Linked DNA regions of Neodiprion lecontei. The protein of the gene in region 4 binds, or shares a complex with, the protein of the main gene of each other region. Links are inferred from orthologs where the notes say so. Each region holds a gene or a part of one and is shown on either strand. Other genes may lie near its edges.

Region 1 (6,872 bases), on a different chromosome or scaffold from region 4:
ATACACAGCGTGCCGTCTTCACTGCGAAATGTTGTCTGAAAATTTCATAGTGGACAGTGCAGTGGTTCAGAATATATATCAACAAATATTCACACAATGGCGAGAGTTCGGTTCAAACTTCGCGGCGCGGCAAGCATTTGTTTACCCTGCGCGTTGTACTGCTGCGCGCTCGAGCGCGATCTTCAATTGTTACGGGTGTTGTTTATAACCTCAGTCGACTTTTTCTATCATTTATTACGATTCGTGACATGATGTGTGAGTTCCGTATTGCCGGACAATATTTTTTAAACGTATTCATCCAAGGTAAGAATTCAACGATGTGTTACCTATCGGAATACCGAGTGTATAACTTTTACCATTCGTACCGCCATTATTATAGTACGTATGCATGAGAAATTTCACGGTTCCATGTAAACTATTACTTGCAACTTCTGAACTACTTTTCCCACTACCACGAAACTTATAGACAATCTTTGTTATTGAAAAAGAAACGCTGTGTAAAAATTTCAGCCAATTCGATTAAGGCACCATTTTGTTACAGAATATTTTAGAAGATTGTTCATCAAAACTATACTTTAACGGGGCACGTAAAATTGTTTTTAGAAATTTCATACAACGATGCGAAACTTTTGCATAGGAAAATGAGAAATTGTCAGAAGTTCATTTTTCGACGAGCTGTGGTAAGAAAATGCTTGGTCAGGAAAATCTGAAAAAATTCAGTTTTGATGCTTTCAATACGAACTTCAAGTGAGTAAAAGGGCGAAAACGTCAAAAGTGGTCAGGGAAAAAATCTCGTTTTTTCGTTCAATGAATCGATGAGTCGATATAATTACGGTGGCACTATAAGCGTTTTATGAATTAGCATTCGATTTGGTGCGTTTCAGTAGAATAATTCAATGCCTTGGTAAAATAATGAAGATTATTTCATAATGAACAGATCTAATAACTGTTAAAGAAAAATTAACATCAAATTGGCAAATTCTGTGTATGTGACATTGACTAAAATTTAGTGTTGAAAGAAAATTGAAAGCCAACAGCATTAGGCATAGTCAAGTCAGATAGTTCGAGAAATTGCCTCTTACTCTGGATGGTAGCAAATTGCAAATGGTTTTTTGACGATGTCGTATTTCGTGGGTGGGACATCTTGGTTGTTGGTCAGTGTGAAGAGGAAGGCTTTTTCCGATGAGACGTAATACCCCTTCGTAGTAATCTTTCCCCAAGGAACATCGCTAAATCCTCCACATATTTCACCACGTCCTCCCTGAAATTGGAAAGTCAAGAAGCGTTGTTTTACTAAAACCATATTCGGGGTTCTCGTTGGTTTTATTTGGTTTAAAATCAATAAATCTTACCATAACTAGAACATATGTGGGAAAGATGCCGTCGCAGTGTCGATGAAAGGATGCTGCTGAGTAACCGTGATTCGAAGCTCTGAAAAAATTAGAAAACTCAATGTAACACAGTCATGAGTTGTGCTGCAAAAACTCCTCAGCGGATTGCTGAAAAAACTCACCTATAAATGAGTCTCCACGTCTGTTTGTGAATGCCGTACCACTGATTCAAGAGTCGCTGGAAGGCAATTTTGTCTCGCGACAGTATTTGGGATCCTGGAAACAGGATGAGACTGACTCTCGGCTGGAGTCTCTTGTCCGAGCATATTTCTGCATACTTGTTCGGTAGGGCGGCATATCTGTACCTTCAAATAAAACAGGGCAATATTCAGTCAAGTCAGCGAGCACGATTCTGATAGTTTTCATTTCTCAGCGTACTGAACACACCTCTCTAAAGATAATTCCATCGGCACAGCTCCGGTCGGTTCAACTTCCTCTGCGAATACTTGACTGTCGATCAGGAGAAGGCGAACGTAATTGATAACGCCAGACAAGTGCTGGCAAACTCGAACTCTTTCTTCCTCGGTCCAGTGCTGAGTAGGCTGAGTAACTCCTGCCTGAAATGTAAAATTTTGTAATCTGTTTTTTCAACACGAGTTAATCATAGCAGATTCAGCTTTTTGGAACATTCCACAAATTGGATGTGGAAGAACTATCGATAATACTGAAGCTCGAACCTGGTACTTTGCCCAGCTTAGAACTGCCCTCCAAACATCCTCTTCTTCGAGTGCAAGGTAATCGGATGCAATCAGCTTGATCAATGCATCTTTTGGCAGGGTACAAAACGACGTCGTTTTTACCGTTTCGACCGCATTCTCACCGATAAAAGCATAACAGCGGTCTATAAACGTCGAGCAGGCACTTTTTCCACCTACGTTTAACATCAAGAGTAATTATTTTTTGGCCCACTTCTCGCAACTCCATAGATACATGTTAATTAAGTGAACAAAAATGCTGTCTTTGCTCACTTTTGTTTGAAACCTAGGATTTCGAAGTTCGATATGAATATTTTTCTGTCAGTCAGCAATTATTTACAATTTGTTAGAATGCTTTCGTCTCCTGAATCCTCTATTTTTTGCTGACACATGAGTATCTAGAAAAGGACCTACACAAAGTTCTGATTGACTATCTTTGATAGAAAACTCATTTGGCTGCCAATATGGAAATTTCGTACGTAACATTTCAAGATTTCAAGCAACTTAGGTAACTTTAAACTGTGCAAATAAGCTCGATCGATTGCGACTTAGAGTACATAGCAAAGTGCGGGTAAGCATGGAACAAGACATAGAATTCGAATATCCTCTTTAACTAAGAGGCGACTCGAGTCGACGGAGTTGGATTTTTGTACAGTGTTGTTAAATCCTTAAACAATAATCGATCAGTGATTCAGGTAAAAGAATAGGTAGATAAAAAACAGGTATAAAATAAGTCTAGGAATAAACACACGCAACGTGAAATTTGTACTGTTTTTATTGAACACAACGAGTCGAGGCGATGAGAATTTGATCACAGCGAGAAAGAGAGATATTATATACTTGATTTGAAACTTTTGCAAATATGCATATTACAATTTGATTATTTCGATGAGTACATAGTAAGTTAATATGCTAGATGAGTCGACTCGTTCTGAATCGGAATGAAATAATACAAATTCAATTAAACACTGTGCCCTAATCCTAAGCTTTAAAACTATTTAAATTACAAGTGGTCGCGTTCTTTGTTCGTCGACGGTTTCGACCCTGAGCAAATTTCGCTCTTCGCCGCTCTTCTTTCCCGTCGTTCTTGTCTCCGAACTTCCAACGATGCGCGCCGCGCGCGCCGGTTTCTAATTTTTTAGGTTAGGATAGGTTATGTTGCCGCTCTCTCTTCCCGTTCTAGTTCGCACCGGGGTTCGTATTCTGAATAAGGGTGATGTTGTCCCCCTTCAGCATTATCCTACCCAGCTGTTTTCTGTTCTTCGTTTTGACGTGATACTCCTCGGCATCGTCAAGGACGAGATTCATGTACTCGTCAAAACCGACAATGTGACCCTCGATCCTCAGGTTGATGTTTTCAAAGAGCCAGACTTGTACTCGGGAGCGATTCTGCAGATATCGAAATATCAGGTTTATCGGCTGCACCATAACCTTCTGCACCTTTGGCGGTCCTTTGTACGACATTTTTGCGAGTCTTTGAGATTGCCCGTCACTTTTTTAAGCGTAAGCTTCAGTTTTAAACAAATTCGGCCGATACGTTGATACCGCGTAAACCACGACGCGTTGTATGCTGGGATCTGAATAACGAATATGGCCGCCGCGATGAGCCTGGCGGCACTTTTTCAATTTAAGCTATTTAATCCCGTCGGCAAGTGACGCCGCACCGTTTGGTGGAAGCATGTCGAACTAGCGCAGCAACACTACGGTTGATATAAAGGATCGTTGCATCGTCGCCGAGTTTGGAATGTTATCTTACGTCGATTTTCTGACACAACTCGACGTCAAGGGATTTCATTGGTCGAATCTAACGGAATACGCCAATAAAATGAATTGGTGTTGTGTTGTGTCAGAAAATTGACGTAAAAGGAAAGCGGCCATATGCTTTTATATTTTATGACCGCGACGCGCTAAAATTTGAATAGATTTCACGAAATTTTTTATTAATAAAAATTTCTTCATTCAAGCGATCTATTAATGGAAATTTATTGATATCAACTGACAAATAACAATTTATACTTAATAAAAAATACATGGTTGCATGTAAAACGTTTCAATGAGTCGTTTTTGAATGGTTGTAACCGATTACGTTACTTTTATATGGTGAAAATGAGCAAGAAATGAGCATTTTGTAAAAATATAATAATTTTCTTAATTTCATTGTAGATTTGTGTATTTCTTTTTGATAGCTAGCCAAAAATTGTGATTGTACATGAATTTCGTGAAAAAAATGTTAATTAGATATCCATATTATGCTGCAAATTTATGGGAAATCTGAAAATTCAATGTCCACATGACTAAGCAAATTTTCGAAATACGTATTGTTAATATTTGGCAAATGACGTAAGTTTAATTTCATGGATTCTTAGTCCAAAAAGTAAATACTTTTTCGTGCAAGTAAATATTTGTCAAAATTGTAAAACTGCGATTCGTGAAAATTATTTATTGAACAGAGAAATGTGTTCCAGTTTTCAGATTTCTTCGCACAAATTTTTTGCAACACAATTATTTTGACTCTGTCGTAAAATAACGGTTAAATGTGAAGCTGATCATTTTTGCAACGACTTAAAAACAGTTAAACGAAATGTCAAAATAAATCACGTTACTGAAAATATGAAGAAAAGTAACTTTTTTCTACATAAAAAATGTTCAATTTCTCAATGACATCGCTTTGCCATTCGTTATCCACAACGATTTGAACAACGTGGCGAATACAATAAATCACAACGCGTATTCCATCCACAGTGTAATACGCGACCTTTCTGCTGAACATTCAACTTTGATTCACGCTGGTGGAATCAGAGGCAACTCCACGAATACTGCGCAACAATACCTACTGCTAAACGTAGCATTACGTGACCTGTGACACTCGGAAAACAAAGACCTTTTAACCTCCGGACATGTATTATATATATTTACTCATACAAGAATGCCTTATATACCTACAACTACGGCATGCGCATATCGCCTGAAATTATACAGAAGAGCTTTACGAATTTCTGGCACGTAAAGGATTAAGGTTTAACGGTAGTGACATGGAACGACATTTCACTCACGCCTAACGATGCCGGATGAAATCTCTCCCCCTTGCTCTATCCTTCTCTTTCCTTCGCGTCCAACCGTATCGGCGAAGCCGTAATACATGTACACGTATATATAATATATAGTGCAGATACCACTTCTTGCCCATACATCGAGATTAAAATAATGAAGATTGATGGGGACTCAAGAATGTCACCTTTTTAGCCGTCGCCCTCGATCTTCCCTTCTTTCTCTCACTCACTCACTCACTCTTTTTCTCTCCGAATCCCTGGCACGCGGAAAAAGGGGTACCTGGTCATTTTTTCTCTCTCCATTACTTCTTTTTGAACTGCATTACATAGTCAATTTTTCAACCAACTTCCATATCCCTACAACAGTAGAACCTCGGTTATACGAACTTGCAATGATCCGAACCATGACTTGATTTATCTGAGCTCTGGCCCAAAAAATACATTTTTAGTGCGAAACATACATTATTTCTCGCTAAAAATGTGAAGCAGCCGTTCGTCAATTGACAATAAACGACTATGTAAAACCAAAGTACTAAAATAATCGTTCCGTGTTTGAAAGAGGTTGAATATGTATTTGGATGTTTAATACGGACTGTTCGTCGATTTAAATTTGTGTAGTATATATTATTATACTTTAAGATAAAAAATTCATTTCGGTTATCCGAACTTTTGATTATCCGAACTAGGCTCGATTCCAATTAGTTCGGATCATCGAGATTCTACTGTAGTGTAGATACATATTATACATATATCGAATTACACGGGGGTAAGAAAATTTCCACGCTGTGGCAAATTTATGTCCAGTGTTAATTAAATTCAGCGTTGCTGTTTCGAACTACCCGGTGAAAGGATTTCTGGATATTCGTGGAATTTTCTATTTCGATCCGGTTCGACTCAGTTCAAAATGAATACCTGTGAAATACAAAAGCTTTACAACCAACCCTCGTTGAAACACGCGTATTGATAGTGATATTGGCTTTGTGAAGGCTGTTCATTTTTGTTTCTTGTATTTCGAAAATCTCTTTTCGACTGCATATTCATAAATGAAAATACGCGGATAACCGATTTCGAGTACAACGCGTTATGCCCGACGAGATGTAAGCGATGTATTAGTTCGAAGGGTGGCTTTTAATTCTCACCCCGGCATCACGCGTACCTAATTTCTCTACTCGTTTATCAATTTTTTTTTCTTTTTTTTCTCATCGGGGTGGCTTACAGTCAGCCTTCAATATGCCGAAAAGACAAAGAAGCCCCTGCAAGGATTAAGCCACGCTCATCATCCCCTTCTATACAGGATTATAGCCTGTAGCACATGAGTCAAGCACTTTGATCGTTTATCCATTAATGACATTTTACAATTTTGAAACGGTGTGGGGATCAGAAGAACAAAAAATTGGAAGAATTATGATGACTCTTAACTAAAAATTTGTCGTATTACCTATTTTAACACTCGGAAATTCAATTCACAAAGAGAATTTGATCCTTTGTTTTATCTTCAGTATACATAAATCACGAAACATATTTTGACGAGTATAGATGAAACTGTATAAAAATATAATTGCATACTGACTAAATCTGTATTTTTGAAAGTGAATCGAACCCCTCCCCATACATTGAGTTCCATCCAACTTTCATGTTCCCGACACAATCGCATGGTAATTACCGTAGGGGACGTTTCTGTTGTGGTTCATTATTATAGAACGCGTAGCAATAGGCAGGCAGGTCAATTGACCGTT
Region 2 (6,871 bases), on a different chromosome or scaffold from region 4:
TATTTATTATTCGGTTGACACTTAATTTTTCTGGAAGTACATACATGCTAAATAACAAAATATACTTGCTTATTGACGCGTGTACAAAATCAATTTTTTAAGCCTCTGAAAGGAAAAAAATTGAACTGTTCATTTCATCATTTTGTAAGAACTTTGATCTTTTTAATATGTTTATTTTAGAAATTGATAATTATTTTGGACTTAATTTAAAAATAGATATGTACTTTCGAAAGTGTCAAGTGTTGGTCGAATGTGTCAAATCGCCGCGGTTTCAAAACCAGAACAAAGAGGTCGCTTATATCGGCGGACGGCCATCTAAAAATCTCATAGATAGTAACAGAATAGACAATAGACTGATGAAATAAAAATCAGATATCCTTGGCGTTCCGAAATGCCACCCAGGTGACTAAACGGTGTGTTCCGAAATAGGCTGACAGCCCTAAAAACTCCCTAGGACAAAGGCAGACCTACCCACGAACTCGGCAGTGCAAAAGTGATAAAAGATTGTTGACAGCACTGGGAGGTAGTTCGGAATCGGAACGCACCCTGAGTGAAAAGAAAGCTAATCTACTCATTCAGGTGGCGTTTTGGAACGCCCCCACCCCCCACAGCAGCGCAAAACTGACTGTGAGCAAAGCCGTCAGTACAGAGAGCGAAAATGTCGCGAGGAAGTAGCGCTGGTTTTGACAGGCATATTACGATATTTTCGCCGGAAGGTCGGCTCTACCAAGTAGGTAAGTCTGCAAAAAAGTCGGCAGTATCACCGTTTTCTTTACGAAAAATCCGACGATCCCCGAGCGAGTATTCCGTGCAATATTCGACATTTCATTACCGTGTTTATGATGACTCGGCGTGATTAGTGTTTCACTTTTTGATGGATAGTATTCTGTATTAATTAAAACGTTGTTTGTGTTCCAGAATATGCGTTTAAGGCTATTAATCAAGGCGGCCTGACCTCCGTCGCTCTTAAAGGCGTCGACACCGCGGTATTTGCTACACAAAAAAAAGTTCCGGTAGGTTATGTTGTCAGATTGAGGAGAAAAACGGTTTTACATTGGCACATCATTGACTCATATTTTACTTTTCATCTAAATTACAGGACAAGCTTCTCGATGCCTCAAGCGTTACACACGTTTTCCAATTGACTGAAGATATTGGCTGCGTCATGACTGGGATGATTGGTAAATTTTTAAAGTGTTTCCGTATTTAACCTGTGATATTGAGAGTTTTAAAAGTGTTGTATTGATATGCATTATACATTTTATTCACAATCCAAACTAATCTCGAGAAAATCTTTTTGTCACAGATATTTTCTGCTGACAATTGTGAATTTAAGAATCATTTCCAACCAATTCAATTTCACCAACCATTTTCAAGTGTGGCCCCTTGATTAATTGAAACTTACCCGACGTATACCTGCATACATAGATTTTGTTTCTAAGCATGAAACCTATGGAATTTAGGTGTTTTTTTTTTTTTTAATTATTTTTAAGAATACTGCTATTTATGCTCTTGATACATTTCTAGAAAAAGGTTTCATTAATTGAGAATCAAATTTTGCTATAAAAACAGAACCATCATTTTTCAGGATACTTAATATTTAATCGTGGAGTATATTTTTTTCATAATAATACTCAAAACTGTTATTTACAACGATTTAATTAAATCATAAAAATTACATTATGTTTTACAATGATACTTGAACGAATCTTTAATGAATTGATATTTTTACAGCTGACAGCAAATCTCAAGTACAACGTGCTCGTTACGAAGCTGCCCATTTCAAGTACAAACATGACTACAGCATTCCTGTAGACACTTTGTGCCGCCGTGTGGCTGATATTAGTCAGATTTACACTCAAAATGCGGAAATGAGGCCTCTGGGATGTTCGATGGTACTCATAGCATACGATCAGGAGAAAGGGCCTTGTGTTTATAAAACTGATCCTGCAGGGTACTTTTGTGGCTACAGAGCAATTTCAGTTGGTGCTAAACAAACCGAGGCCAACTCGTACTTGGAGAAAAAGTTAAAAAAGAAGCAGAACTATGATCACGACGAAGCGATTCAGCTGGCTATCACTTGTCTTTCGACCGTTCTTTCTGTTGATTTTAAACCAACTGAAATTGAGGTCGGAGTTGTCTCCCAGAGCAATCCGAAGTTCCGGTAATTCATGAATGAATTTTCATATGTCGCTTTTTTTTTAAACCAATTGTTTGCAGTTATACATTGTGATTAACTCGTTCTTTCTCTCCTTTCATGGCTTCTTAGTGTTCTCAACGAGCAAGAAATCGATAAGCATCTGACCGCAATTGCAGAAAAGGATTAATTGGTGAGATCGGGTCGAAAGGATATGACCAAATGTGTAATTAATCACAAAGTGTCATCTGATTTCTTTTTTACTGAATAATCAATCTTATCGATGATATGTACTAAGTATGCATAGGTCGAAGTACGCTAAAATAAACTCTGGCTTACGGCTTAAAGTAGGTTCTTTATTTTAATATAATCGCAGCTTGTTAAAAATAATTACAAAATTCTTACAAACTAGTGATATTATTTGCCTGATGCTGTGGCAAGTGGGTTTTTCAACACCAAGATAACCGAATCACCTCGCAGGAACATTTTTGATATAAACCGGTCTTTGTTCACTGGTTTAGCCTGCAATTTTTAATCATACAGTTATTAAATTTTACCTACAATCAGTTATAAATTTGAGGGTAAGTGAGGTCAGTTTCGATTTTATTACCTTTTTCTTTCCTTTTCCAGTCCGTGGTAATTCTGTCCACATTTCTTTGATGTTTTCCAATACCATATTACAGTGTCTGTCAAATGCTTTGACTCGGCCGAGCAGTTTCTTGTTGTTCCGACAGTTGATTAAAACCTGGGTGTTGTTTTTAACAGATTGTGTCAGAACGGACAGGGGACCGGTGTTAAACTCCTCTTCTTCCCTTTTAGAAAGTTCCTCAGGTGTCATTTCAGACTTTGGTTTGGTTAGCGACGCCCTGTAATCGAACATTTGTTGAAATGAAATTGTTGTATCACGTTTAAAACAGAGTTCAATTGTTAGCCAAAGTTAACACATCAGTATGGTCATAAATCATATTTAAAAAATATTCTAAATCTTGATGAGAGGTTAAGTTAGGTTAGTTTTTGTTCGTGACTTCTAAACTGGAAATAATTCGTCTACTTTATGCTATCAGATTCAACGATAATTTGATCAATATTATTGAGAGCACACTCACATTATGTTGTTGGAAAAATTCTTGCTGTTTATAAACTGCTTCAATTGATCATCAATTTTTTCTCGAATCTTGAAAAGCGTCTCTCTTTCGTCGGGCAAACGTTGTGGTTGTGCCGGAATCACCCAGATTCCGGATTTGTTCATTTATTTTACTAGTTACAAAATTGCCAGTCTTCAGCCGCAGAATTCCCTACGATCTTAACTCCAATCAGCGATGAGCTCTATGGAGATGAGTAGGTCTCTGCTTCAATGTTTGACATAAGAATCCCCCAGATGTCATAGGTTATGCATCCAGATTTTTCAGATCCAGATTGACTGTTGAAAAACAACAAGGAATTTATTACTTGATTACCACCGAACGAGAGAAATGGAAGCAAAACCGAAAAGTGAACATTTGTTAGCGTTAAAAGGTGCGTTTGAACAATCATGACCAATTAGTTCTCAAAATATTGTATAATTGAATGAGTAAGGAAATTCATGTCAACTGCCTCATACGCCTAACTTATTCGTTGATTTTTGTGTTTTGTTAATTGAAAACTTCTTCATTAAATTCTATTTATTTCTAGTTATGCGGCTTACCAGGCCGACACTTGCTACTCCAGTAATTGTCTCTTGCGACTCGACAGATCTTCCAGGTAACACGCTCAATAATGAGCTTAAAAATGACAACACCTCCCTCCAGGGAATGGAGACCCTTGCTGTTGGCCAATTCATGATGTTGCCACAGAGTTTTGGGTAATAATTGATCACAGTGGCCGAGATGAAAAATTTTTTCCATTTTCTACCGATAATTTTACTTATCATAAATGCTTTACAATTGTTTCAGTAATATCTACTTGGGAGAAATATTCTCGAGCTATTTATGCGTTCACAACGGTAGTTCCCAATTAGTTAAAGACGTGATGGTGAAAGTAAGATTCTTTTATTTTTCAGTTTGTATGACAACATTTGAGTTGGCATAAATAATGCTTTAACTAAAATCTGTTACAGGCTGATCTTCAAACTAGTTCCCAACGAATACCTTTGTCTGGTCATAACGGTATGCCTAAGGAACTAGGCCCTGATAATACAGTGGACGAAGTTATCCATCACGAAGTTAAAGAGATTGGGACACACATGTAAGAGAGTTGCGCTATTCTGTAGTATGGCATTTATTATATTTTGGTGTTTTGTAGTACAGTCAAATTTTTCAGAGATTATTGGGTTCCTGTTTACAGGTAGAAATTTTGTTGATTCCACTCTGTGAAATCTATAGTTATTGGAATTTGACAACTTCAATTTTTATAAAATCTCAGATTACTAGCAATCCGTGTTATTTCTTTGGTTGAAAATTTTAACCGTCTGGTGTACTTTTGTGAGCAAACCACTCTCTTCAATCCTGAACTGCGAAGTTTCGAAAATAAAAATTCACAATTTCATTTTCAGATTGGTTTGCGAAGTTACATATACCCCCACAGTTTCTGAACCTGTTCCATTATCATTTCGCAAATTTTTCAAGTTCCAAGTCGTCAAACCACTCGATGTTAAAACCAAATTCTATAATGCAGAGGTAAATGATCTTTCCTTTAGGGTATCTTTGTTTGAAAACTATGACAAAGAATACATTAATGAAAATTTGTTATCCTATTTAATTTATAATTAAAGGACCCAGTTATAAATGTAAAAAGTTTACGATTAATCATATGATTTTTCTAGTCTGACGACGTTTATCTGGAGGCTCAAATACAGAATCAAACTGCCGGTCCGATTTGTTTGGAGAAAGTAGCACTTGAGTCATCCCATTTATTCAATGGTGAGATAATTTTTGTAACTATGGCAGGGGAAACGAAAAATTTTAACTAAAAATGTACTCTCCACAGTAACAACCTTGAACACAAACTTGCAAGGTGAGTCTATTTACGGGCGAGTGAATCTATTAGATTCTGGATCGAGCCGGCAGTACTTATACTGCCTTACTCCTCAGCCGAGCTTAACCAAGGATCCAAAAATGATGCATAATGCAACTAACATAGGAAAACTTGATATCGTTTGGCGGAGTAATTTGGGTGAAAGAGGACGCCTACAAACGAGTCAGCTGCAGAGGATGGTTTGTTTCAAAAACTGCAATATGCGTTTAACATGTAAAGCTCAGCTGGTATTCGATCTAATTGATTTTCGGTTGTCTTTAAGGCTCCAGATTTTGGAGACTTGAGAGTAACAATGAAGGAGATACCACCTATTGCATACCTGGAAGAACCAGTGAACTTCAAATGTCGTATTGTAAATACTTCGTGAGTAATTGAAAGCATTCATTGACAGTGATAAATGTGTAGAGAACCTTTCGAATTTATCGTATTCAAATTGAAATAAAATAACATCAATGAAAAATAATGCTCAGTTCAATATATGTTTTGTTTACAGAGAGAGAAGTATGGATATAATGTTGGGCCTAGAATCTAATAAGTCTATAGCATGGTGCGGAGTCTCTGAGACTGTGATAGGAACTCTTAAATCGGGAGCATCGTGCGACATTCCATTGTGTTTAATTCCACTCGACACAGGGCTTGTTGTGAGTATTTATTTTCAAAGATTTTCATATCCAAAGCTGCATGTATAGTGAAAAGTGCTAAAACAAATAATTTTCAATATATTATAATGGGTAATGATTTCAGAAGAGAGACTAAAGATAGATCATTTTCGCCTTTAGACTGTTTCAGGTTTGAAATTAGTGGACACATTTTTAAAACGTGTCTACGATCATGATGACCTCGCCCAAATATTTGTACATCAAGTCGACTAATTATTATTTATACTAATAGAAAGTGTTACTGGAAAAGAGATTCTAATATAATATTTGTTGTATAAATATGTAAATATGATCAATAATTATTAAATCTGATGTAATTATCTATTACGAAAGAAAGTTTATTATCAATTTATTGAAATTTTATGATATTGTTACCAATTACCTATCGACGAAAATTACCTACCATTATTAACAATGACAAATTTGTACAACCTAATTCCTTCTTCATCGCCACAGATTTGTTAAGTTATGACAAATTTTAAGAAATAACTAATCGATTGAAATTAATGATTAAAATTAATCATTTTCAAGTTGATTTTTTTTTTTTTCCCCAATACATCAGTGACATTCTGCAATTATTTGACGAAAATTTGATTAATATAAATCATACAATGAATCTTGCGTTATAAAGAAGGTAGCAAGAATCTGATCTATACATATAATATGCCAGATATCTAATTCCCCTTTAGGCAAAAATATCACGGAATTTGACTAATCGCTACGGATTTTTTCGATCCATCGAACATCGATATGTAGTCTCGACAGCATGCGTCGATCGGAAGTTGTTGCATTAAACGTGATCGAGTTTCGAGGCCTCGATCAGCATCGTCAAACTCCTCCTTTTCCGTTGTGGTTGTGTCACAGGGTCTCCGGGTAATATTTTTCGTCTTTCATTCAGTACAAATTACACTTGTCCTACTGCTTGGAAAAAAGTCTCGTTACATTTCATTGGATTGGGTAAATTACATGTATTGTTTTAATGCAAAATAATTACGCATACGTTCCTTTACAGACCATTGTATAAACAATAATTACGCTCTGCTTTCGGCCCTGTCCCAATGTA
Region 3 (7,369 bases), on a different chromosome or scaffold from region 4:
TGCTGACATTAGTACACCAAAATGATGAGACTTCGGACTTTTGATAGCTAATCTTCGCCGATTCAATGCACACGGAGCACCCTGAAGAGAACAAAATAAGATGAATAACATTTCTGGACAATTTCGAAAGATGACATGGGATCCAATCCTGATAATATCACAAATAATAGCCGTTCAAGCAGTGATATACGTTTGCCTTGGAGTGTGGATATGGATTGTTGCCTCACTTCTTGGATCGACCAAATCATTGGATTATGCTTTTCAGTATAGCGAACTCCATGTTCGTGATCTGGGTGGTAAAATGGTCATCACTATGTTCTTGTTCAATGCCTTAATTGGAGCTTTGGTCTTGTGGTGGATTGTACAAAGGACTAAACAATGTATGGATTTTGCGTGCACCGCTCATCTGATTCACTTACTCTGTTGTTGGAGTTACAATTACAGTTTTCCAACAAGTTTCAGCTGGTGGTGCCTGAACATCGTTTCTGTTACCGTAATGTGCATATTTGGAGAATTCTTGTGCATGAGAACTGAACTTCAAGCAATCCCTCTTGGAATGAATACCCAAAAAACAGCTTTGTAAATATTTGCTTGAATTATAAAATCATATTAATCAATCTAATTTATTATTAAAAATAAAAAACGCCAGAGAAAACCAATGAAACCTAATAAATTTTGTTAACAAACTTTTGAAAGAAAAAACCAGAGTATCATTTTTTATTACCAATGTTAAAGTAACATTAGCCCATAATCTTGTAGTTAACACAGGGAGTGATAGTAGAAGGAAATTAAGGAATTCAGTAACAGATTGAAGTGACGAAGTGGTCGACTAGTGTAAGGAAAAAAATGTTACATTATAATTTATATTATACACATATGGTTGTACAGAGTAGCGATGAGATAGATACAACTAATTCAATACATTCTGCCAATTTCTTGACACACTATAAGTTTTTGTTACCGAACCTACAATCTAGTGAGCATCTTCTTTGTAGAATCTAAGTCCGCAGTACCCACAGGAATGATTCCCAGGTTTGTCCTGTAATTGGTAGAGATTGCTGAATTCTTTGTCTTTACAGCGGTATTAATTTATGTGTATGTCTAGGACATAAGTTATTTGTCTGAGGTGATTCAAGATTATTTATAAAGTTATAATCTACCAAGTTAATGTAGACTTTAGGGTGTCCAGTGGGTCCACCTCCACCGTCACAGGCAACAACTCTCTTCGTTGTTGGAGTTGGCGGAACGTCATCGATTAAATTAATAGCCCAGTTTGGATTCACTTGTTTTGGTTTATCCACAAATCTCACCAATCGATAATCCTTCGCGTCCCATTTCTGAAGTCATAATAAACCAAATTAAATAACTTCAATTGATAGCAGACATAAAGATTTTAAATTTCATGGAATACGAATCAAGGTTTACGTCAACGCACCCAATTAAAAGTGCGGTAACAGTTCATTAAACAGAGAAAACCAAAGAAGATGAACATAACCTCACATTTACGTAACAGGATAAGTCGTAATTATTATTCACCTGGCCAGTATGCGTTTCTTTTTCGACGGGCTCCCAAGAAGCTTTGTTACGTATTCCGGTTGTGAAAGCCGGGACGTTTATTTTGCAAACTTTCGTTTGATTCCCAAGCAGACAGACAACTTTCTTGCACGCCATATTCACAACTACTGATCGGCTAATCTGTCTGAAGTTGCAGTGAGATAACAGCTGACTCACGGCTCTCGCTGCGCGACAGTTTCATAAACCTGTTCAAATGAGTACTCACCGTAGTATCTCAACGTGTTTCCCCGACCCGTGCACAAGTATCACAAGTGTTCAAGATACGAGAAAAGTATACCAATTATACGTTTCTTAATCCCTAATTTTTTGCTCTATTGAAAATAAAAATAGCAAGTTAAGCGATGAAGATAGTCGATTATTTCACAGATCGTTGTGATGTTCTCTCCGTATATTTTGCAAGTCTCATGCATGATGTTGATCAACTCAAAGTACTACAGCAATCAAACCATAACAGTTTTTTATAGAAATGATTATTATAATCCAATGGTGTAGTTAGATTCAAATACATAGATACGTATATGATGAATATCTCCGTGACATGCTACAATTAAAACATAACATTTCTTTACAAGTTAGAAAACCTGTATAACCTAGGGTAATTTCATAGTACAAACACTTATTAAATAAATATTTATTTGGTTCTTGGTTTGTTTTGGGGTTTGTTGCCACCTTGATTACCACCTCGACCTAAAGGCGCAGGGCCTCTTCCCCCACGTCCTCCGAAAGTGCCTGAAAGAACATAAGCATAAACTATGAAATCTCAAAATTCCTTTAATTGCTTCATTTAATGTGATTTTGACTATCGAATACCTCTGCCACCACCTCCACCTCCACCTCCGCCTCCGCCTCGACCGCCTCGTTGATTTTGACCGCCACGTCCTTTCATTTCACCTCGTCCCCTCGATTTCATTTGAACGTCTTCTTTAACCATGTCTATAACTTCATCTGGAATTCTAAGATACTTAATGGTACTACCACGAATGTAGCATTCTGGCATCCTCCAAAATTTGTCACCATCCTGTATTGACAATTTGTTATGATGATTAGCAATGATAGTATAGAATAAACTCAATAATTTACAGCAATTTTTATAAACACATTGCAATGAAAGTAGACTTTCCAAGGATGGTTAAACTGGAATGGAACTTTCAGCCTTACAGTACTGCACACATTATTTAACGAGTTTTTGGACGAGGTTACATTCAATGCTGTGCCCGTAGTAAATGTAAGCAAGCTAATTGAACGCCAACTGAGATTACCCTGGATGTGCAGATGACTTCTCTGAGATTAATGTTCATCCAATTATCACAGCTAACCAAGTGTCCATTGTATGTTTCCCCATTTTTGAGTTCGACGAGCTGAAATAAAAAATACCAAACTACAATTGGCAATAAGTAATGAAACGACTAGAATTTTGAGGTTAAGATTTACCATAGGATGATTTTGTGCTGTTCTCAACAATGAAAGCGGTAGCTGGAAAATGAAAGAACATTATTATTTGAATTTATTAAACCATCTACTGATCATAATTTTAGCATGATCAAACTTTACCATTTTTAAAACCTTCCCGCACGATTTGTTACGTGTGAAGTTTTAAACACTTTCAATTTCGACTAATGAAGTAATAAGTCAACATCACAATTCACAGCTGATATCGACCATATCGACTACATCGCCTATCGACTAGCGAGCTTCGATGCAAAAGTTTTTTACACTGTTTTTTTTACCGTCATATAATGCATATAAATTACCAAATGCGACTCGCGAGAGAAAGAAGTTAGGCTTAATGAAATCGATGCCAGAGTGCAGCACTCTTCAGATTACTGCACGGAGGGAATATGCTGAGGATTTAAAACTAACTAATTTTGATTCATATGAGAGGTAATTACAAAACATGAAATGAAAAGCTAATTTATTAAAAATGAAGAATTTACGTCTTCACACTGACTTGGCTCACGGATGACCATTTCAAAAATCTTGATTCTTGGCGCTGCCGACGGCTGACCATATTTTCGTTCAAACTTAGCCAACTTCTCTAAACTCCCGCGTTGGTGGTGCGAGCGCCACACGAACGCTACATTACTAGGCAGAGGATGCAGAAAATGCTTCTCTTCCGTATATTTTTCGGACACTCCTATGAAGCAATATGAAAGCTCGACTCACCGGCGAGATTTGAACGATGTTACTCCACTTTTTTTTAACTGAATTCTGACCCACCCAATCTCAGAATATGATTTGACTCATACGAATTCCAACATTACTCATACAGTTGGCTGAAGAATTTTGCATAGGGCCCGTAGAGAAATTACAACGAATAGCTTTATTTTGATACTATACGATTGGCGATTTATTGAGTAATATATATTTCTGTGTCAACATATATACATATACATATGTACATATACACGCGAAAAAACACACTGAGTCCTTAAACTATAAGTGTACATACAATACGTAAAGTTTGTATATACTTCGCTTATATACTCCAAGTAAGACTATTCAGTGTAATTTCATTGTTACTTAACAATATTGACTGCTTGGGTTGGTAACTATTCTATATTATACGTGTATTCGCAAGATCTTATCATACGTAATGTTTATATAGAGGTATAGATTATATTGTATGTAAATGTGTGTGTGTATATGTATGTATATTTTATATATATATTTAAAAGTTTGTTTCTACGAGCAGGGTGTTTATAATCCATCAACAAATGTGTATTACATACGAATATAGGTATATGTATACATGAATAATGAATTAGATCAACCGCGTACCTGCACGAGTAGGACTGTAAAATGTGTCAAGATTGGTCCGGAAAGTTTATGGGGAGGTGATCCTTCAGCTTCATCTTGGTTATCGCTATACTTCTAATGGAAATTAATATATAATCGATGACAACGGACTGGACTTACATCGGACTGGACTTACATCGTAGTTCGTATATATCGTGTACACGTGATCAAAGAATTATTAGATAAACGTAATTCTAAGTGCAGTATCGACACACGATTATTGATCTCATCTATACACATATATATACACGCACTTCGGAGAGTCGAAAAAGCTGTACGTGAATTGTTGTTAAATTAATCAGCGGAGACTCAAGTGTTCTTCTCATGTTGCGTAACACTAATAATTATCGTGATATTATTCTGCAATAAAAAAACAACAGGTTGATTAGAAATAATTCGAGACAATTTGATTCCAAGATTTTATATCGTCTGTCTAGTATACAACTGCGATTTTATGGAATAAATTAATACGATATTGTATATAATAAGATAGCTGCAATCGACTTATCAATCCCTGAAGTCAGTCTGATTCGTACTTTATGCGTACTGTTAATTGACAATTTTCAAAAACCTGTTTCCTGTACAAATGCTCTAGCCACGATGCATGTAGTGTCAACGGAGCAGCAACAGAGTTCCTGTCAAGCCCGGAACAAAACAATGCTTTCTAATAACATCTACAAAAGACGAAAATAACAATAAGGCAAAGGAAGATAAAACGACTTTGAAGTAATATTAGTACCATCACGATTGAGTAAATTATATTGGGCTCAGACGTATTCCTTGAAACTCTCTGTTGATTACGGGTGAAATCGAAGTTAGGGATTGATTACCACATCCACCCATTATATTCCTCTTTTTTGTTAGGGGCCGTACTTAAATTACGTAACAATTTGAGAGGCAGAGGGAGTCAAACCAGTTTATGACGTAATTTATCTAAATAGAAATAAAAGTTTGGTGATTGCAAAAATTTTGTAAAAAAATTTGGCAAGCCAGAGTTCGTCTATGGCAAATCTGTTAATATCCTGACAGTAGCGCTTCTTGGCATAAGACAAGTCAACTCAATATAGGAGTTTGCGTGAAGATGACCAGAAATTTTCAAGGATCAAAAAATTTCGTACAATATAGGAGGCAGGGGGAGTTTAATATTTTGTTATGGTCTGTTGTGTGAGGGGGGTTGAGGTAAAAAAGCAAACTTAAATGCGTTATGTAATTTCAGTACAGCCCGTTAAAGTAACAGCCTGAACGTTAATGAGATCCATAATTATCTAGAACTAGTCAATTTTGATTAGGTATTCACTGTGATAAGTTTCCCAGAAAACCGATAAACCGTTTTGCTACACACCAAAGAATTAATAACTGCCCAATGAAAATGCGAAATGTAACTGATAATTTTAACGTTGGTTGTTTCGCGAAAAAAAATCTTCAACTCGGGATACAATTTATTATTAAAATGATCATCCATGTACTGAAGGTGAAGAATAAAAATTACGAATTAAAATAATGAGTTAAGATCCCTCGATTAGCATTTGTACTCGATCATAATGTATTTTCTCAATTTCTTTCAAATTAAATAAAAATAAGTATTGAGTCTCGTTTGAAATGCCTATCATGTAGTATGTAATATGTATATTATAACAATGAAAGCGGTAGTGTTTACAATAGTTATTGTGAATATCACAAAATACGTTAATTTACTAAATATTTATCAACTATTTATGTATATATGTATATATATATTATATGTGTATATATGTATATGTATGTAACAATAATCTTATCGGTACTCTCGCGTTGTATACAGTTATAATATACTATTTATACGTTTCGTCATCGACTTTATCATCATCATCAAAAGAATAAGCAAAACGCAGAACGATCTACAGACTACAATTTGTGTGTGTGTTTATATATATGCATATTATCATCTAGCAATATAACTAGCAAGCTAGTAGCTAGGCAAAAGGCTATATTCTCTTATGCGAGATCGCTTGATAATTGGCGACCCAATAGCTCTACCTTTATTATTTAGACAACGTCGATTTAATTCAACAATATACCCTACAAAACAGTTGTATCATACATTTTTTCCCTCAATTTATCAACTACAATGACTTATGTATACGGTATCATATTAAATCGCGCGTTTATTACAACACATAATTATGTATACATATAATCATCGTTAATTGTGAGTCCACCACAAAGGCAGAGCATTTAAACATTAGACAAACGGCACGAGAATGAGAAAACTTGAAAAGAACGTAGGGCACGCATGATTCTTTGTCAAATTGATACTCTCGATCGTACAGATTACAGCAAAGTAGTTTTGCACCACTACGGGGTAATTTTTTTTACTTATTAAATCCTTCCTTATATCACGAACAACTAAGCAATGCAACATAGATCGCCTAGCGTGACGTGTTATATAATATAAATATACACATACACACGGGAGTAACTGTGTGTGCGTGCGTGTGTATATGCAGTTTCTTCTTAGACGATGACGAACGACGACCCAAGGCGACGCTACTAGGCTATCCTATTTCGTACGCATTATACACATAATTCTATAGACCCTAGATGCCAGATGTGTTCGACTGTCGATGATATTATTTCATGTTACATCTTATTGGTAGTATTAAACGTGGATACGACGATGTCGTAATATAACATACAAATATGTGGGTATATTGTATGAATATTATATATCTATTCTATCTCTTTCTCTCTCCCTCTCTTTTTTCAAATCCCACTTTCTTTCCCTGTTTCTTACATTCTTTCTGCTGACACTCAATATCTACATTATCTACACATCAATGAACATTTACTAGGCTAGTGTACCGGTGGAACAGTGTGCTCAGACGGATGAAAACACACAAGTTCAGCCTGTAACCAGTTAGATGACATACGTCATGTAACGAAACTGAAAAAGAACTGAACGAATTATACAGGCTGCATTGTTAGAGTGATCAGCTATGTTCATCTCTTGATTATAAGG
Region 4 (8,906 bases):
TGTGATTCAATGCGAAAGAAAGGACGGCTAACGATTGAATTTGGAATGTCGCGGGCGCGGCTCTGCCATCCGGTTAAATACGCCGTTGGGAGCTCGTACAACGTTGAATAACGTAGGTGAATACATTATACATATCGTTATTATACATTCAGGGCAGGACGCTGTCTATCTCTTTCCCATGTACTCGGCCGACATCAACCGTTTGTTCGAACACAACGTAGGACCATCCCGCGCACGCAATGAAAAGCAAAATTGCCGGAGGCGACAATCGGTTGAGACAATTTGGCACCGGTGTCTATGAATTATTCCAGCATCTTTACCATCAGGTATTGTAGTATCTTCTTATTCTTAATTATACGGTTTACACACTTTTGGAACGTTTGGTATCGTACGTATAATATACAACATGCTATCATACTGTTTTCATCGTTGCAGGGGCGACCTTTCGGCACGCAACACACACGCGCACAAGCTGTGCCGTGTAAAAAATGTGTATACGCCTACGGTTGTGTATACCATCCTTGACCACTGATCAAAACAACATCGAGCTTTGTGCCGCTATAGGCGTATAATCTCGACGTTCCATCTGCGCACCGCTCTCACATTTCTATCGAAAATATCATATAGCTCACGGCGATTGCTGTTCTAATTCATATTGTACAGCTATATCGTATCACTCTCCGTCGCGGCAACATGCTGCGAGTGCCGAATCTCGATTCTCATTTCACCTGTTCAACCGAACAACCGATCTAAGTACGATCCGATCGAGAGGCCGACTGTTAGATAGATATTGGAAATTATTTACGCAAATTGCGTGTACCTATATAAAAACGCACAACGCTTTTTCAAATACTCTTTTTATCCCCTCCTAATTGTCTTCCAAACCACGATATAATAATTATGATAAGTCAGCAGAAAGTGAAGGCGAGAGAGGGGGAAAGAAAGTCCAGAATAAGAGCGGTCTCGATTTCAGTTCGCGAACGTCCAGAATGATAGAACCAACGTCTTAATAGTCATGGGCTCACCCGTCTTTGTCCAACAGTCGGTGCACTCCTGGCACAGCATGGACCACTCGGTCTTGAGGTCGTTGAAACTGGCCATCCTCGCGGCCTCCGATTGGCCAAAGGTTGCCCTTGTTCCGATACCACCTGTGAGTATCAATGTGTAGCTGCAGGGCGCAACAACCAGAGGACACCGAGACAGGTTCGAGCGGCACGATTTTCCGACAACCTTGTCGCGTTCCGAAGCAAAATCGAAAGCCTCGACCACGTGGAAAACGGGAAAGGCAGTAACGCACGCTCCGGCTCCGATCAGACTCCGTGTCACGACACGCATTTATTATGGAAGCCGGGTTACGGTGCGATAGTTTACGCGGGTAAACAGTCCACGGTCGGTTTGTTTTCAATTCAAGCTAGCGACGGATGATGGGGTGGGCCTAAATTGACGAACCACAACGTACCGCTGAGTGCTCGGAATTCAGGAAAGAGGAGTTTCACTCTCAGTGCGAAGTTTTCTTTTCACACTCGATAATTGTTACGCAATTCGTGGGTTCTGCAGCTTTCAAACGACGGTACATTACGCTGAAAAGATGAGGCGCCGCATGACCCTCTGTCATGAAAAGAACTTCAAGTCCATTTGCAAAAAAATTTTGGGTAATATGGCGCAAAAACACATACATATGAACTTCGAGTATGAGAGCACGTGGGTGAGGCGGCGGCATGTCATTCGCGGTTTGTGCAATTGACCGATGTATGCTTTCACTCGCAACACCGTTTGCCCAACGAACCTGAACCGCTTCGAACCGAAGCCCAACACCGCGGAACTATTTTATGCGGAGCTGGTTAAACGAATGAGATTGTGCTCGTCACACGCAGTCGCGGTCATTCAAATTTAAACGCGAAGTAGACGTAGAAAACGAAAACATGGACTGAGGATGCCGATCTTACGCGAGGTCAGATCATTTTTTTCTATTACGTTATGAGAGAACTCAAGACCCGCGATCGACGAAAGGTTAAAATCTCAAAGTCAGCTCAGATGGGCAGGTAAATAGAGCACTCGGTATATCTACTTGAAACATAGGCCGTCGAATAAAATTTATGGAATCGCGAAGAACACTCGCCATCGGATATAAACTAATTTTACTAACTTTGAATAATGCGATTAAGACTGTCGTTATCTTTATCATCATTATTTTCCCTTATATAAAAGACAATTTACTCTTACCTACATACTTATGCTCCAAATGGTAGAATTATATGAGCGCCATTATTTTTAATGTTGACGAAGCGAAGATGATCAACACAAACTATGACTTTTTTATTTTGAGGAAACCTGCAGTGTTTGAAAAGTACTTTGCATTCGCCTCGTTGACTCTCTTCTCTGCTGCTTGAGGATTCACGATTTCCAGACCCTGATAAAGAATTGAGTGTTTATACTTATTGTCCAATTATACAGAAGCGCATAGAAACTAACGAAAAAGAAAAAATAAAAAATAAAAAAGAATCAATAATCAATATAATTGTACTGTTCGTAACTATACTAGACTTTATGAATTGAGTTGTGAGTATAAAAACATGACGGAGACTTGATGTATTTTAACGTTGATAACTTTGAGATTTTTCGTCATCCCAGAGATAAAAAACGTGAGAATTTACCTGTAGCGGGGTGAAGGCAACGCTCGACGCGGTACCGGAAACCTGCTTTTTGACTGTCGTACTGCCGCCCCATTGCTGCTGCTTCTGCAAGTTTTTTTGGAGAGTTTTCGATATCCGCACCTTCGTCTTTTCATCAATTTGAGGTAGTCTGATACGGCCTGTTCCCGTTTTGCCAATAGTCCCTCTGGAGTAACCCAAGTCCTCTTGATAAGCGTCATTCTCAATCTGCGGAGGGAGAAAAATAACGAAATGCAATTTTTCTCAAGATTTCTGAAATCTGCGACGGCCTGATATCTTGAACTGTAGAAAAGACTTACGTCGGCGAAGTTCATCCGGTTCGCGTGCTTTCGAAATTCTGTGATCGCATATCGTTCCTTCATTTTCCGTACACGTTTACCGCCTCGCTTCTTTCGACCAGGGTCGATCGGTTTTGGAAGAGGTTTTATGAATTTTACTGGCGGGGGTTCTTGCAGCTTATCCAATTTTTTTTCTATTTCGTCCCTCAGTGCCTGGCCAATGTGACCATCCGTACTCTCGTGACAAGCATCGACTCGCGCAGCCAGCATACTCTTTGTGGCGACAAGCCTCGCTGCCTTTCGCCGCAAGTCCTGTGAGCACAAAAGCAAGTCCAAGTTGAGCAAAAATCAAGATAGATCAGATTGCAAGGTGGAAGAAATCATTGAAACACTTACAGGCGGTGTGTCCTGCACTATGTCAGAATAATAAATAAATCCGGCATGGGGGAGGGCAGCCACCTGGGAAAATCCAGAAAGCATTTTTTTTTGGGAGCCCAAAACCAGAAGATTGCAAGCTGGCATTTTAGATAGCTTTGTCAAACCGCCAGCAATCCCTGTAACAATTGAAATGGACAAAAACGAATTCAAATTTTCAAGATAATAAATTGATACAGTGACTTTGTTTTCCACAGTTACCTCACTTACCCATGATTTTTGCCGCCGTCGAAGCTCCAACGATTATAGAAAGGTTCGGTGCTATGAAGGCCATTCTGCTTTCAACATATTCGAATATTTTCAGCTTGCAATTATTCAGTTCTACGGCCATATTGCAGGCTTCACAAATTGCCTCTTTTTCCTCTTCAGTCATAAGTTGGCTAATGAATATAACGTAGATTATTGAATGAAAAAAAATTATAGTCAGCAATTGTTTAACCAGGATGCTAAACTTGATTGGAAAATTCACCCTTGAGTAGTAGATGCAGTCACCGACACCACCATGATAGTAGCTTGCGTTAAGAACTGCTGCAGCTTCTCATTGTTCTTAGCTCGATCCAAATCATTCCCTAATTCACAAACTGTCATGACATACTCCAATGGACCAACTACCAGCGACTCCAGCTCAGGAAATCTTTTGGAGTACTTATCCCTTGTAAATCTATGAATGATTGCTGAAAAATTAGGGACCTATACATATTGGCAAAATTTGGTATCCGTTAAAACTTGTCACATTGCCCTAACCAGAACCTACTTTTTGACTGGCAATTACAAAATGAACCACCCATTGAGCGTGTTAAAGCTGTTGCAATCTGCGGGAAACTTACCAATTTCATCGTCGATATCGACGGCAATATTGTTTGCCTCGACGATGAGCTGATACTCAGGGTCGGATTCAACCGGACCTACGATGTCGGCTGACTTTCTTGGTATTTTGCCATAGCTGTCTATGAGAGAAACGACTTTCTGGAGCTGCGGAGAGTCGCGCAATTTTGCGAGTTCTCGAACGGAAGCAACTTTGACCTCTGTAATAAAGTATCGAATTTAATGTGAAGTCTGAATTATCCGGTAACTGATATGTATATGCAACAAAGACCGTGGATAGTAAACCTGACCTTCTTCAATCGTCTTAGCAACGGCTGCAGGTGGAATAAATTCCGGCTCAGCCTCTTCCATAAACTTGTCCGCGTCATCGTTTTCCTCCAAATCGGCCAGCAGCTCGTCAGCCAAAGACATCTTGGATTAATTGGGAAGTTTATTTCAAGAGGTATGTACTTGGAGGATTCTGCAACTTCAACCTCAATTCCTAAACTTCTTCCATCCTAATCTGAGCAACCTTTTTGTTTACGTCTCACCAAGTCTCGCGCGACGTTGCTGTGCTCAACCCGCGAAGTAATACTATTCGTGGCTCAACCGTTTATCATAAACAGAGGTTAATGGTGCCAATAGCCAATGCCCACTGTGTGTATTTAAAAATGGCCGATTTCACGTTGTTCCTGTATTTAGCTACAGATGGCTGCAGAGACAAGCGAATAACTTGAATGAACCAAAGAACGAACATTCTGTCACTTTGAAGTTTGGCGGCAGGTAACAATCAGGAAGTATTTAGATCTAGAACCCAGTTAGGCACGCCCTAAAGTAATTTCGAACCACAGTCCCTGTCCAGGAATTTCCGCAAATGAATCAGACATGTCCGGTTCAAAGGTGAATAAGCATTGAATACAGAAAACAGTCATAATAGATCCAAACTTATCACGTGCCACAGTCATCTCACAAATTTTCAAATTCGTTAGAATTTACAGAAGAATAAAGGTAGTCGGATGTCATGGTCCTTTGACTGTGACGTGAGTGAGCGAGATGTGGTGACACCTGCGAAGCGACCGAAAATAGAAACAGAAGTACCGTCCCTAGACCGAGTGTCACGAACGATTGATATTTATGACAAAAAAACACATATAAACAGCTTACCGGCTCTTCTCAAAGCTTGCGAACCTCAAGAAGCCTCAGAGTTATCTATTAGCCGACAAAAACAAAGAGAAATATACGATTGGTTGGAATATAAAACTATCAAGAGCAAGCCATGCGCTTTGATTCTCTCTGGTCCTTCGGGTTGTGGAAAAACCGTTAGCTTTAAACTACTTGCCAAAGAGAAGGAGTTTGAATGTGTCGAATGGATCACACCGGCTGATCAAGGCGCGGATGAAAATAGTAGGTTGATCAATACTGTCGATAGCATAAAAGACATTTATTTTCAATGATTAAAAATAGGAGAAACACTTGATGTTGATGATAAATACTCCTTAAATAATTTACTACCTCTTCTCATAGATAGATTCACGAGGCAAGGAGACAAATTTCAAGATTTTATGGTCAGAACTACAAGATACGGTTCTCTCTTTGAAGATTGTTGCAGACGCCTACTACTCGTTAAGGATTTTCCAAATGTTTACTTCAACGATAAAGATGCCTTTCACACACTCCTCGAGTGAGTCTGTGTTCCAGATTTTGCATTATGTATGTTGAATTCAAGTATGACGGTTATAATTATTTATCAGGCAATACTTTGGGACGGGCAAAGAACCAGTTGTATTTATTTGCACTGATTCAGGGGGCATGGGAGCGCTGCAAACCTTATTTCCACCAAATGTCAGGGAAAAATTTGGTATTTGTCATATCAGGTGAGGCTCTCGTGATGAAATTGACATTTCATGTGGTTTTGTAGCACTAGAAAAATATTCTATAATGATATATCACTCTTCACTGTAATCAACTCGTTGAATTTGACTGTATTGCTTTGCAGCATAAATCCAGTCACACAAGCGGTCACGAAGAATATTTTGAAGAGAGTTTCACTAGTCTTTAACACCAGAGCCTCTCACATGGTACACGTGTCTCAACATATCGTAGAAGAAATATTATCCAACAATATCGGAGATATTAGGAGCACTGTTATTAACCTCATATTCGCTTCTCTGAAAGGTTTTTACGTACAGCCTTTTCATAGCACTTTACACAGCTTTATATACAGCTGCTGGATTTAGCTCCAATGTTATTCAATGTACGTATGCTTTTAGTACCTAATAGACAAATCGATTGCGAAGGAAGAGGTCGTGGAGAATCTTTAAGCCTACTTCATGCCATCGGTCGAGTAACTAATCCCAAACGTAAGTTATAGTTCATTTTCAGAAGTAAATCGAAAAACATCTTGTAGAATTATATGCTATGTGAATTATGAGCTACATCACAAGTTTAAATTAATCTTCCGTTCAAAGTAACGTGAAGTTCCGAAAATACCGATTTTTTGATTATCCAGTACTTGGTAGTCATTTAAATTTTCAGGTCTAGTCGAAGGAAATTCATGGAAGTTTGTACATGACCCAGATGAAATTGCGTACTTCTTTCAAACTCAACCATCTACGTTCGCGCGGTTTTTACATGAAAATCATTTGAATACCACAAGAGGAATCGAAGAAGCTACTGCAGCCACTGATATACTTAGCATTTCAGATTGTCTTATATCTGATTGGAGGGTATGTGGATTACATTCCAAAGTGATATGTAAATAATATGTGATGTAAGTTGTATGACAATGAAAAAATTTCAGGACTCGCATTTGGGCAGACTTGGACTCTCGTTTTGTATCCGTGGAATAATGATTACCAACAATGATCCTGTGCCGGGTTGGAATCCAGTAAGAAAACCACGTAATGACGAAAAAATGTGTGTATAGCTGGGCATGGTTATAGTTTCGAATTCGATATGTGGAAATGAATGTTTTCATTGTTATTTCCAGCTGCAGGGATCTCGCATCCACTGAAACCCTCTGGTACAAATCGCTGATCAGCCCTAAATTAGCCTTGACAATAACATTCAAGGGGCTTGGAAATTAAAGGATATACATTTTAAAATACCAAGATTTTTCACGACCCGAAAACAAATTGCCGATACCACGTGTTTCGTCAATGATCATTTTCCAATTATATTTTGTTCAGATATTATTATTTTTTTATTTAAACGGCTATTTCTAGATACGTTTCATACAGAGACTGTGAACAAGCTCGACTAAGAGCCCGTTGAATTATTGTAACAGCTGCACAAAGACGACTGGTTAATAAATGATCTTATCGAAAATTTGCTTCACACTTGACCCTGGTTACAGCTTGACGACATTTGACCCTTGTTTCACCACGGTTTGATGTGGGTGTGATTCTTATCTGGTGACACGCAGCGTTGGTTGCCTAGATCGTGATTTATATGGGCGTCATTGGGCGTGCGCAACAAACGGGTTGTCCTGTTATCGTTCCGACCAAAGAGTTTACTAATACTCTTCGGTTTCCGACAGTCTGTCTAACCTTCAAATCCGCCAGTGGAAATTGACATCGGTAAACTAACCTACAATGTATACGCCGGACGCGGAGGAGAAGCGTAATGGACGGCAAAACTGACAACTGACTGATATTGATAGTGTGAAATTGCGTAGGGAAAAAATCCGCACCGTTAACATGATAGACTCAATATCGTGGAACAGTGCGAGGGATGAGGCAATTCATCGAACGGTCGGAGAAGCGCAGCTAAAAAAGTATGGTAACTTTTTTAACAAATCAATCGAGGATTCAGGCTGGGTTCCTGACACATCTCTGAAATACGTCATCCAAGGGCCGATCCATCTCGTTTACAACCCCCGCGAGGACATTACCATAATGGACATGGTAGAAATGGAGAACAAAACATTGGCCAAGCTTCTCGCGGCGGTCGCGGGTACTTGCAGGGAAATCAGACTACTGAAAATCGAAGGTAATAAATTCTACCAGAGGCTACTCACCCAGGGCGAACGATGCAGTGTTGACGAAAAGGGGGACGACGTCAATGTCTTGTTATCAATTCTGCAGGACCTGTCAGCATACGTCAAACGGGTATCGCTTGTCGCAAATTTGACCATCCAGCAGCTGTCGAATCTGACGGGCAATGCCTATGATATATACTTTCCGCTGGTCATTGAACATCTGGTTGACTTATTTGTAATATTTGTAACTCTAGATGAGATCATCGTTGCTCAACCTTCGCTACTCGATACTTGGGATCAGTACTGCGTCCGCGCTAGCACAATGCTCCACAATTCTGAGCAATTCAATATACCTGGCTCAAAGTTACGTACTTTTGAAAAGCTGCTGAAAGATCTGCGCCATCAACTTTTGGCTAACAATTTATTTCTCGGAGCTATCGACAGGGCGATGGATGTGAAAAAAAGCCCAATAATGCAGAATCACTTCGCTTGTTACCTGAAAAATACTATGCTGGATGTGGAAAAGAAAGCCAGTGACAATTTATTGTTTAACAAAAACTGGATACGTACAAATGTAGGGGTCGTCGTCATTGTCAAATTGTTCGGAACTGTAGATAAGAAGATTTTTAAGAGGCTTTGCGAAATGAATAAAAAATACTACTCTATTACTCTGATTGGCAATATTATCTGGATTCCAAATAAATTTTTGGCCAATTCAGTCCCAAAAGAATTTGGCTT

Evidence for each region.
Region 1: U4/U6 small nuclear ribonucleoprotein Prp31 (region 4) and probable small nuclear ribonucleoprotein E share a complex: the UniProt entries of both Homo sapiens proteins name them as parts of the U4/U6-U5 tri-snRNP complex. The link is inferred for Neodiprion lecontei from reciprocal best matches to the Homo sapiens genes PRPF31 and SNRPE.
Region 2: U4/U6 small nuclear ribonucleoprotein Prp31 (region 4) and probable small nuclear ribonucleoprotein Sm D2 share a complex: the UniProt entries of both Homo sapiens proteins name them as parts of the U4/U6-U5 tri-snRNP complex. The link is inferred for Neodiprion lecontei from reciprocal best matches to the Homo sapiens genes PRPF31 and SNRPD2.
Region 3: U4/U6 small nuclear ribonucleoprotein Prp31 (region 4) and U6 snRNA-associated Sm-like protein LSm4 share a complex: the UniProt entries of both Homo sapiens proteins name them as parts of the U4/U6-U5 tri-snRNP complex. The link is inferred for Neodiprion lecontei from reciprocal best matches to the Homo sapiens genes PRPF31 and LSM4.

Annotation. Positions count from the first base shown.
Region 1 is NC_060262.1:5,976,004-5,982,875, forward strand, and holds probable small nuclear ribonucleoprotein E, read right to left. Parts: upstream 3,682-6,872; 5' UTR 3,551-3,681; coding exon 3,266-3,550; 3' UTR 2,844-3,265; downstream 1-2,843. Other genes in the region: uncharacterized protein LOC107220233, read right to left, coding at 1,083-1,261, 1,353-1,431, 1,514-1,696, 1,779-1,948, 2,069-2,262. UniProt on the Homo sapiens protein: Plays a role in pre-mRNA splicing as a core component of the spliceosomal U1, U2, U4 and U5 small nuclear ribonucleoproteins (snRNPs), the building blocks of the spliceosome.
Region 2 is NC_060266.1:19,484,455-19,491,325, forward strand, and holds probable small nuclear ribonucleoprotein Sm D2, read right to left. Parts: upstream 3,405-6,871; 5' UTR 3,387-3,404; coding exon 3,244-3,386; intron 3,004-3,243; coding exon 2,748-3,003; intron 2,660-2,747; coding exon 2,555-2,659; 3' UTR 2,473-2,554; downstream 1-2,472. Other genes in the region: proteasome subunit alpha type-6, read left to right, coding at 659-734, 919-1,013, 1,100-1,181, 1,735-2,164, 2,270-2,327; trafficking protein particle complex subunit 13, read left to right, coding at 3,610-3,652, 3,809-3,977, 4,069-4,153, 4,233-4,360, 4,668-4,791, 4,938-5,034, 5,102-5,328, 5,412-5,512 and 2 more. UniProt on the Homo sapiens protein: Plays a role in pre-mRNA splicing as a core component of the spliceosomal U1, U2, U4 and U5 small nuclear ribonucleoproteins (snRNPs), the building blocks of the spliceosome.
Region 3 is NC_060261.1:34,774,796-34,782,164, forward strand, and holds U6 snRNA-associated Sm-like protein LSm4, read right to left. Parts: upstream 3,329-7,369; 5' UTR 3,130-3,328; coding exon 3,127-3,129; intron 3,049-3,126; coding exon 3,007-3,048; intron 2,934-3,006; coding exon 2,835-2,933; intron 2,594-2,834; coding exon 2,386-2,593; intron 2,305-2,385; coding exon 2,207-2,304; 3' UTR 1,949-2,206; downstream 1-1,948. Other genes in the region: protein SYS1 homolog, read left to right, coding at 101-583; NADH dehydrogenase [ubiquinone] iron-sulfur protein 6, mitochondrial, read right to left, coding at 974-1,039, 1,161-1,337, 1,537-1,671. UniProt on the Homo sapiens protein: Plays a role in pre-mRNA splicing as component of the U4/U6-U5 tri-snRNP complex that is involved in spliceosome assembly, and as component of the precatalytic spliceosome (spliceosome B complex).
Region 4 is NC_060263.1:188,690-197,595, reverse strand, and holds U4/U6 small nuclear ribonucleoprotein Prp31, read right to left. Parts: upstream 4,798-8,906; 5' UTR 4,622-4,797; coding exon 4,501-4,621; intron 4,411-4,500; coding exon 4,213-4,410; intron 4,060-4,212; coding exon 3,855-4,059; intron 3,766-3,854; coding exon 3,596-3,765; intron 3,505-3,595; coding exon 3,347-3,504; intron 3,263-3,346; coding exon 2,972-3,262; intron 2,880-2,971; coding exon 2,655-2,879; intron 2,411-2,654; coding exon 2,306-2,410; 3' UTR 2,173-2,305; downstream 1-2,172. Other genes in the region: uncharacterized protein LOC107218750, read right to left, coding at 1,026-1,335; cell cycle checkpoint protein RAD17, read left to right, coding at 5,075-5,089, 5,179-5,593, 5,714-5,870, 5,941-6,063, 6,186-6,364, 6,460-6,549, 6,725-6,915, 6,990-7,105 and 1 more; WASH complex subunit 4, read left to right, coding at 7,888-8,906. UniProt on the Homo sapiens protein: Involved in pre-mRNA splicing as component of the spliceosome. Required for the assembly of the U4/U5/U6 tri-snRNP complex, one of the building blocks of the spliceosome.